Astyanax mexicanus: one gene and its partner. The protein of the gene in region 1 interacts with the protein of each later gene in a biochemical or structural test. Links are inferred from orthologs where the notes say so. Each region holds a gene or a part of one and is shown in the gene's direction. Other genes may lie near its edges.

Region 1 (8,019 bases):
ATATAGTTGCTTTCAAATAAAAACCTTCTTTTTTACAAGAGAATGAGAAACTTTTTGACCTTTAATAGACGTCATTGCATACAATTTGTTTTATGTCATTTTTGGAGCATTTCCATTGGTATATTCAGCATAAAAAATCAATGAAATGTAAAGAACAACTGCCATATTTACATTCAGTAGAAATACAAGGTTTTTGCATGAATGTAATTTGAAAGGTTTTTGCTATGTATTTGTTGAATGTTACAATTTGGTTTAAAGAACACAATACAGAAGTAATATATTAACCTTTTCATCTTTGTGCTATTATTTGTGCTCTTGAGCAAAGCCAGTAACCCTTTCTGCTCCTTTTGCTGCTTTTTTTTTGGAAAAAAACTAAAGCCATGAGCTTCAGATCAATGACTTAAATGGTCATCATGGTATGTTTTGTATGATGTGTCAGTACACTACAGTATATTGAGAGTCTAGGTTAACATATGTTGCCTTAAAGGGGACATCTTCTCCAGAGACGTCCATGCATTGTTCAACAAGACAATGCAAAACCCCACACTGCACACATTTTAAAGGCTGCAGAGCTGCAGAAAAAGGGGTTACGGGTAAAAGACTCAACTGTCTGCAGCCCTGACCTGTCCGCAATACAGAATGTGTGGAGAATTGAATTGAATTTATTTTATTAGAAACTGTTGCACACCTTAAAGCGTGTTTGCATGAAGAAATGTTCTGTATCATTAATGCCAAACATATTTTAAGTTTATATTTTTATTGGACAGATAAGAAAATCAATGTATCTTTTGTCTAATGCCGTGCCATGTCTGTAATAAACCCACTCTGCTAAAATTAAGCCTTATGAGCCCAATAATCGAAGTCCTCTCAGGAGTTCTATCTCTCCAGTCATCCCAGTGTCTTCTCCAGGTTGAATCCTTCCAAGTTCCCTGTGCTGTGTTTTGCTTGGCCCCCTCTCTGTCCTGCAGCCCATGCTGGTCTTGGACAATGTGCGAGCTCCCAGAAGGCCTTGCTCTCCCTGCCCAAACACTCACACTAATCTTTCTTCCACTGCTTCCATTTTCATTCATTTGCAAGTCCCCACTGTCCACTTCAAATCTTCTGTTTCTTTAGCTCTGATTGAAATATTCAAAATTGTTTAACACCAAAAAATAACACTCTCACAATCATGAGTCACATTCATCAGTCAACCTCATTAAACCACCTTCAGAAAACTTGCACAAAACTTCGATATGGTTTCATGGTTGATGCTGTAAATAGAGATATACTACAGAAAGCCCTACCCAACATCCCAACAACAACCACCTAAAAAAGAGACTTTAAAAAGGATCTTTAAAAAGAGGTGTAGACCCTTCAAACTCATTGATCCTTGAAGCAATTTTATACCATTTTCTGAAAATCCCCATTTAGTTCCTAAGAACTTGTAAAGAAAGATATTTTTATCATCTACAACCCAATGTACAGATCCTACACTACACAACCACAAATTACATGTCCGCCTTAATTTAAATGTGACCACATATATGTTGTTAGCTGAATTTTTCAGAAAGATGGTTCTTGGCATTACAGTAAAAACATGGTGGCAAACAAGGAATTTGTCATATATGCTTATAAAAAAGTAAGCCCATATTTTGTACTGCTGCTAACAATTTCATTACAGCTCTTTTCAGAGCAATGGTTCAAAAGAAAATCCAGAAAATCGGAATGGTATAAAATATTAGTCTAGTGTTTACCATACAAGGTCATTTTTATTTTTTAAAAGAGGGTGGTGGTGGTGGTTGAAGGGCTATTAATTTATTAAAGGCAATGAAGGTACTATACAACCATGACAACTTAAAGAACCAAAAATAAAAGAAATCTGACAGCACTCCCATTATATCCAAAAACATATTTATTCACAGATAGTCAAAGATAGATTAAATATTTTAGACACGCCAACCAATCTGGCAGTCTATATGTAGCAGAGTAGCAGAGGCAACTTACAGCCATAATTCATCACCTTCCACATCCTCCATTTAAAATATACAAATATTTATATAAATAATAATCAGAATAATAAAATATTAAACTTCAAGGTCTTATTAACTTATTTTCAAAGCAACTATAACCACACAGATAAGCATATGTTTATTTATTTTTTTTAATTAAAAACAATTCCACTTACCATCTGAAAAAAAAGAGGAAAAAAATATTAAATTAGAGAAATCAAAGTCAACCTGCAATCTTTTGATTGATAAATACATTAACTTATACTGTAAAAGCTTTTTGTTTCAGTGTCTCAGACAAAAAAAAGAAAAATGTTTTGACATGATTGTTTTTGTGATTTGGGGTCAATGGAAAATGAACTATTCCTTTTAATGTAATTTGAACTTGAAATACATAAGTAATGTAAAGTCTTAAAATCCTGAAATAATAAAAAAGGTGCAAAGGAAACAAGCTCATATTCATAAAGTTTTAAAAGTTTGGAAATCTGAAATATGGTGGAATAACCCTGGTTTTTTAATCACAGTTTTCATGCACATTGACATGTTCTCCTCCACCAATCTTACACACTGCTTTTTGATAAATTTATGCCACTCCTAGTACAAAAAATCAAGCAGTTCAGCATAATTTGATGGCTTGTAATCATCCATCTTCCTCTTGATTATATTTTCAGAGGTTTTCAGTTTGGTAAAATCAAAGAAACTCATTGTTTTTAAGTGTTTTTTTCTAGAGCTGTATGTGATTTTATTTCAAGTTGTTTTGGAACATTTATTTTGGTCTACTCATCATGGCACTTTGACACAATGTTAAAAAAACTGAAAGATTTAAAAAGTTTTTTAGATTTTTGACACTTTTTACCAATGCATAAATGAGCACTAAAGTATATATTTCTTGATTTTTAAAAATACACATTAAACACCTAACACTAAAAAAAATCACTGTTAGACAAAACTACAAACCACAATAGTGTTCTGCAGACTTATTCAGTCTTTTCACTTTTCACTGGTTTTGCTTTATGCTTTTTTTTTGTCATTTTCTGACGAATAATTTCAGTTGCCAAATATAGGGTTTAGTTGCTTATTACCATGTGAACCGCCGCTAACCTGATTTACTTTAATAAATTAACTGAACTGAGTAATGAAGTAGCCAGTTAATTTAAATGGTTTGATGAACCATGTGTTGTGTTGTATCTGTAGGCGTGTGAATTTTAATAGGAAATGGTTAAGATAACACTTAAACATAGATTAATACATTTCTGCTCAGATAAACAACTTATCTTATTATTTTCTCCCATATCTAAAGATTTCTTACACATCTCACACCTTCTCTAAACGTCTCTGAACGACTAGAGTAAACGTGAGCAGAACAGTAGCTCTCCTCTCCACACTGACCCTGAAGCACCTGAAGGCGATGAGGTGGCGTTTTCCCTCAGAGAAGCTCGCGCTGCTTTCATCTGCGTTGTTTTAAGCGAAAAAAAGCGTCTTGGATTCTTGGATGGGGTGAAGAATGAGGGGGAGAGAGGAGCGCTGTGATTGGCCAGCCGCGCAGATGCGACGTGTCTGCGGAAGAGAGAGAGAGATGGAGCGCTGCTGAAGCCAAGGAGCTCGCGCGCGTTTTATTTTATTTTTTAATAATAGCACTGCGCGTGCGCGTTTATTGCGTCGTGGCTGTAGTGATGGGTCAGCAGCATCTTCATTTATATACATCTATATTCACTATATATATATATTATATGTTTATAACTAACTTTAAAACTGATTTTAGTGATTTTTGGTATCATGTGATGATGCATGTCTACAATGTGGGAGCAGCAGCTCTGCTTTGGAGCCACGTAGACCGACTGACTGCCTAGTCACACAGTCAGTCCCCCAGACATGCAATTGATGAAATGAAGACTGTTTATGTGCAGAAAACTGGGAGTGAACTGGGAATAAAGAAGGTCTGGGCGTATGAGTGAAAAAGTGCTTCATTCTTGGTGGTATTAAAATAAAAAAAATGATTGCATTAAATGTAAAGACAAAATATTTATATTATAGAGTAAATGTTTATTAAGCCAAATCCATTATGCACTATATTAGACTAATATCTAGATGCCTGAGTTTTTTCCACATTAAAAATGTATACAATTTATTATTATAGATTTGGGATTTATCTTGGTCTGATAAATAGGCTGGATCCTGGAAATTAAGCCCATGAATAAATGTGTACTTCCAAATGAAGTCAATTTACAGACTCTATTTACCTTTTATGAAAAAGTCTTCACACTGTTAAAATCCAACATAGCAAATTATACCAAGTTGATTTGGGCTAAAAATGAATAAATAAACAAAAGTCTATAAACAATACATTTTACTTTATAGCAGAAAGAGTGCATTAAAAATAAGGGCAAAATAAATCATTTCCCTCTTTGAGAAACTGCTCCTTATTAATGTTGTGTATTCCAGGGTTAAACTTAAGTCACCTCTGAGAAACCCCACAATTGCAAATATATGAGATGTCATTGAACTGATTAAATTAAATCTCAAAATCTTTCAATATGGTGACATAAATGTATCACATGTATGCATTTATGAATAAACATCCACAGCTAATAGACAAAACCATACCATGCATATTCTGATACCAAGCAAGCAGAGCCCAGAAGAAGAATAAACGTGTCGAAATTCAACAACAACAATGCACTCCATCCCATCTTGGCTTCTGTTGAATAAGGTGAGAAGAAAGTAAGAAGGTAAGAAGGTTCAGGCCTGCCTGCCTCCTCTATCCAACTGAACCAAAGCTGGCTTTTTGGTTTGCTTAACCCCTTAGATTTTCTCTCTAAAAGATCAAGTTTCCCAGTTTCTTTAGATGCTAGGGTGAAGCAAGCAAAAAAAGAAAAAGAAAAAGACGAGTTCTGGAGACAGCCCCTCCGTCTGGTGAAGGAGGGTCCGTTTTTTTTCCTCCTCTCCTGTTAAACGGGAACATGCCTGAGCTCTGTGGAGCGCCCGGCACCTCCCCAAAAGTTTGGAGTATAAAAGCGTGGGGGAAAAGTGCGTTTAGGCAGTAGGGAGTTTCTGCTGGGGTCTGGACTGGAGTCAGAGAAGACCGGACCCTACTGTGTATGATTGGAGTCTAAAAAAGAACTTCCCTCGCCTCAAAGAGTCTACATGTCTAATATTTAGACATGTTCAGCTTTGTGGATATTCGGCTGGCGCTGTTGCTCGGTGCAACAGTGCTTTTGGCAAGGGGGCAAGGCGAGGACGACCGTGAGTATCTTCTCTATCTTCACATCCAGCTTCTTTTTCTTCTTGATTAGGACTTTGACTGGGTAGGATGGGCTGCCTTTGGGGGGAAAAGCAAAAAAAAAAAGGGCAGAGTGAGGGCAGTGAGGGGTTGCCAGGGATGCCAAGCTCTGGGGAAGCTTGTATCTATCTCTATGCTATGCTATTTTAAACATGAGGGGAGGAAGAACAGCAACTTCAGTGATTGAAAGTTGAAGGTGCAGGAGATTCACTAGGAGTATCACTATGTTGAGAGTCTGTCTTCAAGAGCTTGCTTGCTTGCATGCATGGAGGCAAGTTGGCACAGGCTTAGAGACTCGTCCACCCTCCCAACACCCCTCCTTTAGCTACTCTCCATGCTTAACATTAGTGATGCCCTGGAGCTATGCTTTAGTTCAACAGCTGCAAAATAATGTACAGAGGGGTAAAAAAACAGTAAAAAAGTAAAAGTGCTAAAGCACATATGGATTTATAGCTTATACAGTGTTGTTTAGCTGTGTATTGTTTGTAATAAAGTGTTTACATGTTTGATCTAAACCAGAAACTACCAAAAAAAATCTGATTTAGCTAAAAAAAAACCCGACTCGTTTGGAGTCTTTAGTTCTACTAGTCTAAAGTCGACATCCACCACGTAACTCGTTGGAACTTTTGAGGTTTAGGTTTTTCTCCCATGGAAAAAGTGATGAGCTCATCTTTGGACCATGACTATGTCATGCTAAACAAGGAGATCAGAACATTAAAAAAACTAAAGTGATGTTAAAAAGCTATTTATTTATCTTAGAATTTGGGGGGAACTACTTAACATTAGTTGTTTAACATGGTAGAAACTTTTTCTTGTCTTCAGATTCCTTCACACAAAAAGAGCTACCCGTCCAGACATCTGCAATTGTCCTTAACGCTTTGAGAAGCGCAATTGCAGTCCTGCAGCGCCTCCTAGCGATCAGGTTTGGGACTGGCCTGCTTTTTGGCAGCAGCCTCAGCAGAGCCCCCACCCCGCCTCTGGTGTTTTTATGATAATGTAAAACACATGTGGGCTTTGCAGACTTTCCACTAAGGGAAAACGCATGTTGCTGCCAAGCCGACGGGTTTCGATTATTTTATGACATACAGTGAACCCCGAAAGACGTGGACCTTTTCCCTCCTGAGCCTTTTCCCCTTGCTTTACAAAAGGGAAAGGCATTGTTAGATAGAGCGCCATCAAGAGTCACAATGATGACATTACATATAGCCGATCTGGCTAAAAGTCGCTGATGAATGAATTTGAATGGATTGGAGCATTGAGCTCAATAATAATAAAAAAAAAAACAGATGATGAGATTTGTGTGCAAGCGTAGGACGAAAATAAAATATACAGTTAGTGCCTTAAAAAAATTAAATTAAATAAAAAACAACAGAAGAATCAGCAGTTAAAGTGGACCCTGCGCTTTAGAAAATATACTTTTAGACCTTTTTTGCGGAAACATTTTTTCCTATCCGTATTTAGTCTTCACATTTTTACATTAAAATTATTTGAAAATTATTTTTTGTTTGTTTGTTTTGCGAAAAAATAATATAGGCTATAAATAGCTAGAATAATATTCTTGATTTCAGGCCTATCATCGCCAATAATTGCATTAAAAATAAAAACAATATGAGCAGTGATAGCAATGATTGTGAATTTGGTGCAATTAAAAAATATATCCATGTTATAGATAGTATTGATATATTATTAATTTATTTAATTATTATTTTAATGATTATAATGTACATTTGGGATTGTTTATGTAAGGCAGCTATGTATATATTCTTCTGCCTTACAAAACAATAATAAACGAAATAATAAAATAAATTAAAGAATGATCAAAATCATTTGTTTAAATGTGTTTGCGAACGCTTATTACAAAAAAAAATAATTAAGTAACACGCTTTAACGTGTTTTTCTTATTTTATTTGTGTCCTTAGGCACAGGCAGCAGCTGTACGTTGGACGGCCAGGTCTACAATGACCGGGACGTGTGGAAACCGGAGCCCTGCCAGATCTGCGTGTGCGACAGCGGCACGGTCATGTGCGACGAGGTGATCTGCGAGGACACCAGCGACTGCGCCAATCCGATCATCCCCCCAGATGAGTGCTGCCCTGTCTGCCCTGATGACGGTACGGAAGCCCGCTCTAAAGCCCCGCCCACCCGCCTGTATCGTGGGAAGTTAATTGGGAAAATTACAACAGCGGTTTTTCCAAGCGGATTTCAGATTTGTCTGGCCTTCGTTTTGTGGAGATCCCTTCCTTTTTCCCCTCTCTGGATTAATTAAATGCTGCCTCAGGTTCTTTGTAGAGCTTTTAGGGGTTCTTCAGTTTGAAACAGTGCTTCAAGGAACCTTCAGGAAACATTTATCCTCAAAGCACCTTAATATAAGGGGTTCCTCCAGAGATTCTAATTGAAGAACCCCTAAAAAGTCCCCCACTGAAAAGTACACTTTGGGTGTCCAGTCTTATCCACAAGGAACAGCTGGAATGGCTGGCTGCAGGCCTTTCATTCAGATCAAGCTGCAGCACGCCTGAGCACTCACTTGTTTGCACTGGTTGAATCAGTTGCTTTCAGTCAAACTACTGAACTTCTGATCAGGTGTGGTGTGCCTGCCCCTGGCTCTGCTAGAATGAATGAATGAAACCCTCCCTCCATCCTGCCTCGTGGATGAGACCTGACACCCCCTAGCCTCGACCCCTTGGCTTTTTACCACACTTAGTGATCCAGGGGACAGATACAGGTCAAAAGGTCATGTGACATGCAGCATGCTGT
Region 2 (6,904 bases), on another chromosome or scaffold:
CCACTACCAGATCAGGAGAATCTCTCGCTATCTTTAAGAAACTCATGAAGACAGAGCTCTTCAAAGAGCACTTACTCTCTTAACACCTCTAACACACTAACTACTTCTAACCTCATTTCCTTCTTCCCCTCCTTCACTCCTCTATCCTATTATTCCCCTTTGACCTCCTTTTATCCCTATCCAAAGATGTTTTACCTTTAAACTTATTTTACATTGTACTTGACTATTGTAAGTTGCTTTGGACAAAAGCGTCTGCCAAATGTAATGTAATGTAATCTATGTGGAAACGTGCACCCAAAGTGTAATAACGGTGCGTGGCAGTGGACAAATAGCTATTTTATTAAACACAACATGACGAAACTGGACGGGACTTAAATTCAGAGAAAAATAGTAGGTAATTTAGCCTGTAATTTTCACAGAGGACGTCTGAGAAAAATGCATACATAGTCAGACGATGAAAAGAAAATGATCATAAGACCCCTATCCACTATCCAGGAAACCACTTACCTTGAAAAATGAATAGCTTGTAATGAATGAAAATGAAATAGTTATAATCTGATATTTACACTGAAAGCAAACTACATACATTTCATAAAGGGCAAACTAAGGGCAAAACTGTATTATACCATGCCTTTTACCACCTACAGTATGTACCAGCACAGCTAATCTTTTCCAGGGAGTCCCATAAATTATCACCTGACACAGTTCAGGTGCTGCTGCCCTTGATCTGCAGATGCTAGCTGGTATAATTACACCTAATTGTAATTAGAATGAGGGGATATAATGGTGGGGGTTCCAGAAAGCAGATAGCCATGTGAAGACTTGTTAGGCTTCATAGACAGCGCCACGTCTGCAGCTCCAGAGAGCCTGAGTAATTACACCTCCTCCACCACGGCCTGCTCCCACTCCAGCTCACTCTGTCTGCCGCAGCCAGGATGGAAAATGCCACGTTGCATAGCTGCTGTTTTTTCCAGCATTTTCTCATCCAGATGTTTCTCTCCTTACTCGTCCACAGGGCTGGGAGAGGACAGACATTAGCAATCCATAGCAGAGCGGCAATCGGTACTGAACCAGTGTGTGTAAGGCAGAGAAGCTGAAGCTACAGTACATTGAACAGCTGCTGTGATTACTTTAGCCTGATGTACTTTCAGCAACCCACAGTACACACACACACACACACACACACACACACACACACACAGACAGATAGACAGAACAGTAAGAATGGACTGAGGAATTTGATTCTGTGACTGGGATTTTAAAGAATTGAACCACGTAGCATTCATTTTTTAACAGTTCAACCCAAATGACATGTATCTATATCATCTACTGTATGCCTGACAATATTACACACACTTTTATATGAAGTAAAACGATTGCGAGTGTGTTTTCTGAAGCAAAATAAGTTACGATTATTTTAGAAAGAGTCACATGAGGTCATGCGTTTACTCTTTCATCCACAGGGACACTGCTTACAGGCAGTGCTGTCAGTTAATACATGTATTTGACTCTGATTGGACAAGCCGTAATAGAGTTTTCCAGTCTTTTTATTATTTCTATTTGCTTTATTTTCCTTTTGATGGGAGTCATAAGACATTCATTTACCTTACTGAAGCATTGTGTTGTGTTGTTGTGCTTGTGTACACACAGCTTCCCTGACTATGGACAATGCCAGAATTGCTGTGGGGTAATAAAGCATTGTGTGCCTTTAACATAAAGTGCTACTAGATTCTGTATTCTTATCATGAGCGTATCTAGTCCATTTTTAGGGGTGCTTAAGTACTCATAAAAAACCTGTTCCACCACCCCTAGAAGTGAAAGCAAAAGTTATTTTTTTCTTTTTTTTTAAAGAAGTGTGTCTCTGATAAGCTAAAACATTTAAAATCTTAGAAAGTCTATCATTAAAAATAATTTTAATAATGAAAATATAACAGTGCAATATGCCTACCATAAAAATGGTATGATCCACTTTAATTCTACTTTGCCGAGCATGCACGCACACACTGTACTGTTATACTGTATTTATTTTTTTATTTTATTTAGTAAGCTATTGCTTAAACCTGACAATCACCAAAACTCTCCAGTGTTTAAACTGTAGTAAAAGAAGCTAGCTGAGAGAATAAGGTGAAAATAAATGATGGGATTTCATTGGCCAGCATGAGCAGATACCCTGAAATTCCATACTGGGTTTTAAGTAGCTATCCTGCTTTTAACTGTTTAAATTACACCAGTATTTTATTCTCTTTGGTAACACAGATTCCCTGAAGTATTTTAGAGAATTGTCTTGTGATATATTGAGTATTGTAGAATCTCAGGATTGTGATATCATCATGATAATGGACAACATATCATGATCATGTTGTACCATAAGATGCTCTGTGATTCCCACCACTAATTCCAACATACATTAGAATAACCAATAGGAGAGCTTTCTCCACCAACAAACAAAAGCAGCTGTCCCTGTTCATTTAAACTCATTCTGTGGTGTCTTTCTTGCTCTTTTTTTGCTAACAAACTTCTGCACACACAAAGACAGCTGTGGCTAAAAGCTGCTTCTGTTTGTGCTCCATTGTTTAACAGATTCTCGTAAATGTCAAGCAGGAGAATGATGGGGAATGATCTCAAAAGCATCTAGTTGCAGACTTGTAATTATTGACTCTGCAGGATTTTAAGTTGGCAGAGCAATTTTTAATTTTAATTTGCAGAGCAGTGACAGATTGTCAGTCTTTAGTCTTGTACTTTTCCAGTGTAGGTTTGGCATTAGAAGCCCAGCATTGAAATGGAAGATATGTTACAATTCTCACCAAAAACTTTATATCTCTATATCTCTATATCTATCTAGTTTTCCTTTTTTAAAATTAAATATTTTTTTGCATTTTGTTACAATTTCACAACAAACTATCCAACAAAAATGGTACCAAAATGAACAGCTAAAATATATTATATATATATATATATATATATATTTTACATTAACTTTAGTTCGTTAGGAATGTGTTTTGTTTCTTATGAACATCTATTATTTGAACATTTTTGTTCAATATTGTGAAATATTATTTAAAAAAAAAACTATGATATATAAAATACTTATTATAGTCAGATTAGTATATTTTTGCTTGAATTGGATTATTTTGTGAAAGTGGGTGTGTTTTAATATCAGTGTATAGCAAAGTATTGTAATACTCTCTTTATATTATGAAATACAGCATTTGCTCCATTTAGTATGTTTCTTTTAACTGTCAAATTAATATTTTGGAAATATATGGCTTTATTTTAGTGTTAGTAATATTTTATTATATATTTTTAAAATATATATTTTATATTATGATGTTATAAAATTCCCTATTTACTACATTGTGTATGTTCTTTGTTTATTCTGTAAAGTTATAATATGGTAAATTTAGGTTGTTCCAACAGCACTGGTATTGTGAGATACTCCATCACTCTTTATGATTCTTTACTCAAATCAAACCTGAATACCCAATACCCTGAATGCCCAAACTGCTATTTTAGCAATCTCCCAAACATACAACATTGTAATTGTGTATTGCACACACTATTTACTGTACATATGAATAGTATTAGTTATACCTGCCCAAGAGAATTACAATGTTAAATATATCATCAGTGTTAATAGGTACCCTGTTAGCGCTCGTATATGTATACAAACCTGACTAATCCTAAATCCTTTAGCAAGTCCACAACCCCACAGTTAAAACAGCATATTAAATCTACAACTAAATTTACTTTCTTTAAATAATAGTGTTTCCAGGCATTTACAAATAAATGTGAAATTTATTCTGTTTTTCTGTGTGGACAGCAGGCAAACATGCATAGCAGACCTGATTTGCATGGGATTAAGACCCTGTAGCTGGATACATAGAGTTAACTGTGGGACGTCCCACTCCAGCGGAGCTCCAGGAGGGGGGTTAGCAGGGCCAGCCCACTGCAAATGTCTTAGAGAACTTGTGTTGCTGTTAGATAGTTCCAGACCCCTGCACCAGCTGACTTCTCCTTTTGGCTTCTCGGTTCGCCGAACAGAAGGTAAGAACTCTGCACCCCATCATCCCTACCTTTACCTCAGTCTTTGTTAAAACTGCTAAAAGAAGACAAATGTAATTTATTTTACATCACTGATCATCATTTAATGCTTTGTGTAGAAATCAGTGATAGGTCCTAAAAGACAGTCACACATTCTTATACTAAAGTTTTTTTTTTTAGAAATTATTTTTTGTTCTTGCTTTTTTTTGCATCATTATTGCTTTATTATATGTATATATGTATATTTATTATATGTAGTAGATTTTAAAAGGCTAAAGGTGAATGCGTTTTTGGGTCATGTGGGTTTATTTGTTTATTCTAGTGTTACAGATTCAGATCTGATTCATATTTATCTAAATCTAGTTCTGGACTACACTGTTAAAAATAAGGATGCTACAAATAGTTCTATGAATGATGCCACAACAGAACCACTTTTGGATCCAAAAATAACCGTGTTTATATAAGGGATTAATGTAAAAGTGTGGAAAACCTTTTAAATAGGTAAAGAACCTTTATTTTTACATTAATAATGATTCTGTATACACTTCTTGTAGACATCTCTATTACAAACATGATTATTAATGTAACAAAACTGATTCTAACTCAAAGAACCCTTGGTAGTGACTTTATTTTTAATAGTGTATTTTCAGTCACGGTTCAGACTGGACCATGCAGTATGGGACAAGCCTTAATCCCTTTCTTGGGAACCCAGATCCCAGCATTCAATTCACAAGCGCTGTAATAAAGTTGGTAAAGCTTTTCCCCTGCAGAGCTCATCTCAATTTAATGATGACACCCACTTACTTTAAGGGTGAGGAGCACACTGTAGCAACGTATTGTGCCACATAGGCAACAGAAGAGGAGAACACAGAGGTGTGGGGAGAAGGGGGGAGGGGAGATCAAGCTACAAAGCCTGTGAGAGAGAGAGAGAGAGAGAGAGAGAGAGAGAGAGAGAGAGAAAGAGAGAAGGGGGGGGGTCTGTTTTCGCCTCCCCAAGTTCCCTCCCCTCCCCTTCACTTACTCCCATCAAAAGGAATGTGAGTTGCCATGGAAGTTCTCACCAGCTGTTGAGGCCTGCTTAAATTGTACAGATGTCTATTCTCTTGACAAACAAGAACTTCGTGAGAACACACTGAGCATCCACAGCTGCCGGAAGGGCTGCTGTCGTTAAAGACAGAAAAAAAGTTGGCTGGTGGCATAAAAAAAGAAAGAAAAAAAAAAACAGATACTGCATATATTTTAGCAAATATTTTTAGACAGTATATAGTTAGAATAATAGATAAACACAAAAATAATTGATTAACCATTAAAGGTAAACAATTCCTAATTTTGTTTTATGACTATTTTATGCCACTGATATAATTATAATATAATAGCATAGTAGTACATTTACATATTAAGTTTAAAGGGCATACAACTTTTAAATTATAATTTTGTTCAAATAATATTCAGACATTGGAACTGGAATATGAACCTTATATATACATAAAAATATATCTTAATAAATACATTTTTTAAAACTACTTAAAAAATGTCAATATATCCTAACCCTAAATAAACACAATGGGAATTATTGAGGTCAGCGAAAATTGTATTAAGGTCATGTTATCATTATGTAACCGTAAATCAATTATTATGTACTTATTGGAACTGTTTTATGACAGATGTTTAATTTCTCCTACTAATTTATTTTAAAATAGAAAATAAATACAACTGTAAAAAAGTGCAAAAATAGGCTAAAAGTGCCTTGAAAATCCGGCAGGAATACTGTAAAATTTTATTGAAAGTTAAACAGCTTAATCAATTTCTCTACATACTGCTTTGATAATAGAATAAAGATGTTCGCTAAGAGTTCCCACATGTTTCAGAAGCTGCAAAAAGTTCAAAACAAGCCCAGGACACAACAAGCCCACAGAAAAGTGTGGCATCCCTAAAACACTTGAGGAAAAAAACCCTTTGGACAGTCAGCACAGGGCTGTTGCCCATATTCCACCAGATGTCAATTCGAGTGACGCAAACATGTGAATGGAAACATTTAACCAAAGTTTGAGCAGCTTTAGAGCAGCAGTGAGTAAAAAAACAGCAAACAGAAGTAAGCAGCATCAGCCAGAAAAAAAAAACAAAAAAACAAAACAGAAATAGACTCTCAGGGTTGCAGTGGAAGGCCGGGTGAGAAAGAGAAGAAGAGTTGTGGTTCACAGAAAGGAGATCCAATGGGAGTCTGACCAGTAGATAAAGCCAGACACTTGGCATGAAACCAGAGTGAACCCATGATTTATAAACAGTATAAAGAGCACCAACCGACAATCAAGCTACCGTTTAAAAAGCTAGAAAGGTTAGCTGAGGATAATTTAAAGCATTTAATCATGGTAACAAAAACAATTAAGGCAAATCTAAGATGCATCTCTTGATCTGAAGCTTCTTATCAGTGGTCTCAGCTACACATCTGAGAATTTTCCACCAAATTTTGGAGTCATTACAGCTTTAAAATGCTTAACACTAGAACACAAGGTTCTAGTTTAAGGTATATAAAACTGTTATTAAATTGGGATTAAAGAAATGTAGAATTGGCTTATATACAGGGTTTAAGTTAAGGGTTAAGTTATAACAAAACAATTATTATTTTCTGACAATATACTCTGTAATAAGAAAACATGAAAACTATCTTTAGTTAAGATTTGAAAATGTAAGATTTAAAGTAAGATTTTAAGCTTAAAAATATATGTTTCTTAATTAAAATGTAAGAATGTGTGCTTGATCAAATCCGGCATGCTTTTCTATAGTTTAGGAGCTAAACACTGTAATATGATACTTTGGGTAGATTGAGAATTTTCATTTCCACAGACAGTTGTTGTTCTTTTGG

Evidence for each region. The genes of interacting proteins can lie anywhere in the genome.
Region 2: the proteins of col1a1a (region 1) and sparc form a complex in vitro, tested with the Homo sapiens proteins (2 studies listed by BioGRID). The link is inferred for Astyanax mexicanus from reciprocal best matches to the Homo sapiens genes COL1A1 and SPARC.

What each region holds. Positions count from the first base shown.
Region 1 is NC_064426.1:32,891,699-32,899,717, forward strand, and holds the start of col1a1a (collagen, type I, alpha 1a), read left to right. Parts: upstream 1-5,014; 5' UTR 5,015-5,146; coding exon 5,147-5,228; intron 5,229-7,184; coding exon 7,185-7,376; intron 7,377-8,019. UniProt on the Homo sapiens protein: Type I collagen is a member of group I collagen (fibrillar forming collagen).
Region 2 is NC_064417.1:39,221,960-39,228,863, reverse strand, and holds the start of sparc (SPARC), read left to right. Parts: upstream 1-3,904; 5' UTR 3,905-4,044; intron 4,045-6,904.